Drosophila melanogaster: one gene and its partner. The protein of the gene in region 1 interacts with the protein of each later gene in a pairwise test. Each region holds a gene or a part of one and is shown on either strand. Other genes may lie near its edges.

What was found. The genes of interacting proteins can lie anywhere in the genome.
Region 2: the proteins of Hesr (region 1) and CG15459 interact in a two-hybrid assay, tested with the Drosophila melanogaster proteins (one large-scale study listed by BioGRID).

The regions. Positions count from the first base shown.
Region 1 is NC_004354.4:18,203,885-18,206,978, forward strand, and holds Hesr (HES-related), read right to left. Parts: upstream 1,261-3,094; 5' UTR 1,237-1,260; coding exon 1,075-1,236; intron 947-1,074; coding exon 659-946; 3' UTR 519-658; downstream 1-518.
Region 2 is NC_004354.4:20,411,822-20,415,517, forward strand, and holds CG15459 (uncharacterized protein), read right to left. Parts: upstream 1,761-3,696; 5' UTR 1,677-1,760; coding exon 1,620-1,676; intron 1,451-1,619; coding exon 599-1,450; 3' UTR 520-598; downstream 1-519. Other genes in the region: CG15458 (uncharacterized protein), read right to left, coding at 2,013-2,141, 2,204-2,266.

The DNA of each region.
Region 1 (3,094 bases):
CTGCAGCAACAATCAATTTTCGCGCTTCTTACACTCAAACTCGAAATTATTGTGAACTACATACATATACTCGTATTGTACATACAAAGGCGGAAAGTTTGAGGGTCCCGACAAAAAAATTCAGCATAGACTGTAAGAAAATCCCATGCTCACTCACACGTATTTGCTAAACAAAAAGCCAATAAGCTTAAGGATAATCTCAAAGAACACCTTTTCTCGACTACTCTATTGATATGTATTTTTTTTTTGGGTATCTAGTAAGCTACTACATTGATATAACGTTAACGATACTGATAGCAGCAGATGAAAATCTTACTTTGTGTGCATTATATTCAACATAAGCAATACTTAATTTAGCATTCGAATGCATTAAGCAATGTTTATTAACAATTAAAACGATTCTAAACTTAAACCCCCAATGGAAACTCATTCTTACACTACACACATTCTACATTCTACACACAAACCACATACCTAACAAGTTTTTGGAATTATTGCGAAAAGAAAAAGATAAACTTAAAGCAAAAAACGAATGTGCAGTTTTATTTCATGCCTCTATTGTAAAACTGTCTTTAGTGGACTTGGGTCTAAATAGTTTATAATTATCCTATTTAAAAATTGTGAGTTGAGGAACTTAAGTGGATATTTCCCATGACGACTACCAGGGCCTCCAGAGATTTGGCTTGGATTTGGATGTGGAGGCCACAAGATGATCCAATTCTTTCGCAAATTCGAAACTCGGCTGATAGCCGTTGTGTTGCAGAAATTGGGACACTTCCAGGACGCATTCTCGAAAGCCACTCCAATAGCAATCAATTGGGCTCTGATATACTCCGGATGTAGGCGCTGTGGTGGGCGTGGCCACCGGACAGTTTTTCTTGCTCAGGTGGTGAACTGCCAATTCCAGGACATCTCCCATATCCATTTTGGCCATGGTCTCGCCGTCCTGTATGCAAACATTTCAAACATATTATATTGTATCAATTTTAAGAGATACAATATACAAAATCATTTTGCTACGAGCTGAGATGAGTAAGAAGACCATGGGTCAGAGGTCAACGTGAGACCACTCACCAGATGCGACACCTCCTGAAGCAGGTCCTTAATAAAGTCCAGGCAGCGATTGATGCGTGACCGCCTCTTCCTCTCCATCATTGGCTTAAAAACCTCTCGATACTGATGAGATCGTGACTTTGCTCCAACATGAGACTTCTGCTCCTCGGGACGTGCCATCATAAGCCTGGCCCAGCTCCACCTTCGGATCTTAAGCGACTGAATGGCCCAAGGAATTGGAGCAGCAGCGGCAGCTTAGATACACCCTAAGTAGCACGGCTCAGGGCATATTAGTTTTACGGAAATATGGGCTCATCCCATATATGAATCCCTTGGTTTTCTTTACAGTTACTTTGCACAATTTGCATCTTTCGTATTTCACAATTGTTTTGGTCTTTAGTACTAAATACTGCGAGGTATTATTCAGTCGCATTTTATTTTTTTTACTTACCTTGCATTAACCATCTCAGATTTCTGACAGCTTACGCAACCGAAGCAGCGATGTCGACTGCAGACGATGCGTGTTTCATTGAGGAAAATTTGCTGATGGCAAAAGTTGTCGCCGGCCTAAAGACACCTACTTGGGGTTCCTAGGAATCGGAAAAGTAAACGTTGCTGGTTACTGGGATACTTGGTTGCTCGAAGGGAACGCGAATTGGGGAAGTTCCAAATAATTCACAGAAAACCAGAAGACACCAGATATATTGGACCATACAATCCCTGTATGCCTATATCTCAATCACAAATTGATTTGCACTTTAAAAAATGATTGGAGATATAATATTTATTTGAAAGTATAGCTAATTTTACAAGTTAAGATACAAGTTGAATTCTCTTGTATGAATTTACAAACTTATGTTCTGTGGTGTTTGTCAACACCATTCTTTATGTTATTCAAGATATATAAAATTAAAATATTTCTTCACGTTCTGGAATATTTTTTCCCGTGCACTCGACTATTATACAACTTCATTTGGTGTCAAAACCGATGAGAATCTGTTTCTGGAGGCTTCTGTTTATTTGGTTTTCTGCGATGGCTTCCGCGCCAGCTGAAGTATCTGATTTGCTGCCTTGTTTTTGTTGATATTTCTGCGAAGGGACTTGTGCTTTTCAAATGGCCTTTTTTTGGGATTACGGCAAGGGCGCGTTTCCCACGCTCGATCCCCACTTACCATTGGTGCACGCGATTGCGGCAAGCTGCTGAGGCAAGCTATTAAACGCCACACTGGGCCGGGGGGCGGTACCGGTGGGCGTGGCAGGGGAGTCGACACATGTTGTGTGCCAGAGAACTTTGCTCCGATCCCCAGATCATCAAATAGTTGTCGCTGTCTGCTCGTGCGCAAATTGCAATACTTTGCATACCCTTACTGCAGGGTATCTGAGCTTGGACTTTAAATAAGGGGGTATAACATAGCTTATACTCTCTATCTCTGTTATAAAGTCAATTTTCCTTAGATCTTTAGTACAGTGGGTAGTTAAGGAGACATAACTTCCAAAAAAAAAAACTATAAAATTGCAATAATTTATGCAAAATATGTATTTTATTGAATGGGATGAATAATTTACCTTATACGACTGTAAAACATTTCTAACGATTAAATGCACTTCTAAAAGTTTTCCCACAAGTAGGTGAGCTATTATGCTAAGCGTTCCATGACTTGGAATCTAAGATCTTGTTTTGATCTTCGCTGATCTTTGAGAACTCGGGGATTACTTACACATTTCTGGGCAGGCACAAGTGGGCCGAGGCAGTGTAGATTCATCACGTTTTCACTCAACACACGCAGCTCATTAACAGCCCCGCTGACAACTTGTCAGGACTTCCCCCTCGTGAATCCCCCTGCTACGCAACCCCCATTCCCCGCCCATTCCAACACTTCCCGCCGGGAGCGTGGGAAATTATGCGTGTTGGTGGGACGTCGGGCGGTGAAAATTGGCGCGCTCTTCGGGGGGCCACACCGCGTGGCATTGACAACTCTTCCACATTTCGCGCCCAACGATGCGTTGGCATCAGTGGGTCACAGGGATTACGGCTGGCTGG
Region 2 (3,696 bases), 2.2 Mb from region 1:
GACGGCAAGCGAGGGAGAATGAGGAGAGAGAGAATGAGAGAGCGAGAGAGAGAGAGAGACGGCGAGAGAGCGAAAGAATCGGTCGATCGCATAATGAAACCAAAAAGCAAAACGTTAAAGTTATTTCCATATTATATTATATATACATATAAATTTAAATATAAATGTTAGTTGAAGTCCACTCATAATTAAACACAAGGCTTAAACGTTAGACGCAACCCAATTGAATCCAATCCAATCCATTCCCATCCATCTCGAGTCCGAACCCCGCCCAAAACAGTTAATAAGCTACGTAATTGATATTGATAACCCCGAGAACACAAAGGGGCTAAAAACGTTTATAATGATGATCTATTTAAAAGTTAGATGCCGCAAAGAAAACTCTATCTGAACTAAACGGAAGCTAAATAAAATACTTTATAAAGCAATTGCCCCCCGTTTAATTTAGTATCTTGCAACGACTGAAAGAAATGGATCCACCCGGGGGCGCCAAGTAATGGATTGTTAAAGCATAATGCTGAGATAAAGAAGTTCTTCGTATTTATTTTAGACTAAAAATTTAGCAGATCTCTTGAAGCCTACGCCCAGACCTAGCCAACTACTTTTCATCGCTGGTAAAGGACAGGCCGGAAGTGAAGCCATCGCTGAACGCGCTGTACTCCGCCTGCTCCTCCGCCTGCGGCTGGTCGTCGGCCTGTTCCCGGCCCAGTTCCTCCGGCTGTCCCGAGGCGTTCTCTTGGCTGCCTGTGGGCACGCAAGAGCGCGGTGCCGTGCGGCGCTTTAACGGCGTCTCATCGTCCTGGCCGTCGTCACGTTCATCCTCGTCCAGCTCATCCCGCGAGACTTCCACTGCGGCTGCCTGAGCTGGGGAATCGGAAGCGGTGCCGCTGGTGTTGACCGCCGCATTGCCCAAAACGGCTCCCACGACTCCTCGCAGCACCCTGTAGAAGGCGTCGTGCACCTGACCCATCACTTGGCTAGCCGGACGCACTTGCTCCGCCTCGGGCTGTTTATACTGTTGGTACTGGTTTGGCGGCTGAATCTGCTGGCCTCGCGCCCAGCTGCTGTGGCTGCTATGCTTCACGGCTCCCTCCGCCCGACGCTGCGGCTCCTCGCAGGGACACTTGCGCCGCGGAGCAGAGCCTGATCCTCCCGATGTGGGCGGAGGTGGTGGCGGCGGCGGATCGTCGCGACAACCATTGTCATCCTCGCCCGCCGCCCGGCGCTGCTGCTCGCGATCGAACTCGGTCATGGCCCGCTCCGATCGCTCCCGGCAAACGGAGCAGTCGGGATCCGCGCCGTAGACGCCAATGTCGCCATTGAGGGACGACTCGTGGTCCGATTCGCAGCTGCACTTGCCGCTGGCCAACTCGCCGGTCTTGCCGGATCCGCGGCGCAGCTTGTACACGATGAACAACAGGGCCAACGTGGCGTATGTGGCCTTTGCCACCTGCGAAATGGGTCATAGTATATGTATTTGTAAAAAATGTATGTAAAAAAATGTTAAATTAATAATTTTGAATTTCAATTTGGAGCTGAAAATAATATTTTGTGTCCATCAACAGCTCCAAAGCGATGGTTCATTTTATCTTGTGTGCGTTCAATAGAATCACTCTTACGTTAGCGCGTCCATTGATGGTTGTCCCATTGAAGTACTTCTTAAAGCCGTCGGCCATTGCTACTGGACTGGATCTGGAGATCTGGAGATCTGGATTTGGGGTCGGGTCCGGGTGAGAGCTGAGTGTGTTCTGCCTATAGCTCCGAGCGAGAACCTAATGACAAGCAGCGAAGTGCAAAGCTCGGCCAACTAGATTACAAAGTCGATTCATTGGCAGGATTCGATTTTTATTGACTCAACGAGGTGGTACATGAGTTTGGTCCCCAAGCCTTTAACTGTGGCATCGAGGACCGGAAAGGGGGTGCTGATTATAAATAGTTATGGATTGCTGACGGGTCGAATGGGTCGGAGCGGTGGGGAGCCATGACTTCAATGATTTGGCAGCATCGGCGCCCTAGCCATGGAGCATGGCCTGCTGGCAGCCCTTGCAGTAGAGCTTGGTCTCGCGCCGCTTCGTGTTGCGGCGGTGCATCTTGACCAGGACGTAGACGAGTCCCAACGAGGCCCAGGTGGCCTTGGCTACCTGTGGGTTTCGGTGGCGTATTTGGGCGCATCTTGTGTACTGCCGTGTACTGAATCACTTACATTGGCGCGACCACGCATGGTCTGGCTGTTGAAGGCTTCGTTGAAGTTGAAATGATCGGACATCTTTGGATCGTTGTTGACCGGATTGGCGTGGCTTTTAACAAAAGATTAAAATTTGGATTCGATATTCGACCTGTATTTTAGACCGGGATTCGGATTGTGACTTTTAAACGTTCGAAATGAAAGGAATGTTACTGACAGTCGTCAAAGCCGACTCGGGTTTCCCAACTAGAGAGAATGCTGAAGTCTAGTACCGACTAATGGGATACCCATTAATTACTGCTTAAATACTGTGATGAAAATTGAGATATGCAAGAGGCAAATCGAAAGTTTTGGACATTTTCATATTGTACCTTTAACCAACTTCAGAATTCATTGAGCTAAATACCATTTACAATTTTATGAAATTTTTAAGCATGTTACAGCTATAACTATTTTTAAACCAGTTACTAGATTCGTTGAAAATTGTATGTCACACAGAACTTCTTGCCATCCTGGTCGGAATTAGGATCACTAGCCAAGCCGATATGGCTATGTCTGTCCGTATGAAAGTCTTGGAATCTGATATTAACATCGCATATCGATCGACCATTATATATCTAATATATCCTCTACAAATGTATTTTATCACCTAGCTAGCATGTAAACATTCTGGCCTATTTAGCTGTACGCTTCAGTTATGCTAATGCAAACATAAGCCTTTTGTGATATTATAATTTACATTTATTATTTATTGCAGTTAGCTTTATCAGCGATTTGGGCTCATGCCACACGCAATACTACTTATTTCAACGTCATCAGTTGTACTAAATGCACAAATGAAATACATTTCGCCAAATAAATGCCAACTTGCAACTAATTTGAATGCTAATCAAACCGAACTACTCATTTGCATACAAGGTAATAGGTGGTTAAAGTGAGTGTAATGGACTTACTTAAGGGGTTACAAGGCTTATATTTAAAATGCCTGCCTTGTAATTAAATTTTTAAATATATTGGAAAAAAATGGCCACTTGTTATGTGAGTCTCCAGAAAAAAAACAAAAAAACAGCAACCATCTGGTATGCAAAATATCTGGTGGTAGCAAAATATCTGGTGGTATCTGGTGGACTATCAAAATATAAAAACTTTTTTTTCCAGATAGTATATCTTAAAATCAGCATCTTGAAGGAGTATATGTAAATAGCAAACTATTTGTAAAAATAGATTTTATTTTATAATTTTTTAAGATATATACCAAACATTATTACCGATTGTGATTATCTTTACATTGTTTGACCTCAAAACGGAAAACTGGATGCGCGGTATCCATGCGACCCTAACTCTGGAACCGATTTTGGAACCGCCCCGTTAGATCTCAGATTGAAACCTTATTTGCATTCGCATGATCGCTGATGAACACTGGGGAAATGCGGCCCAGCAATGGGATTGTCAACGCATCTCGGCCAGAATCGCGCCTCGCATGCCACCTCGCACGGTGACCACATACCTGT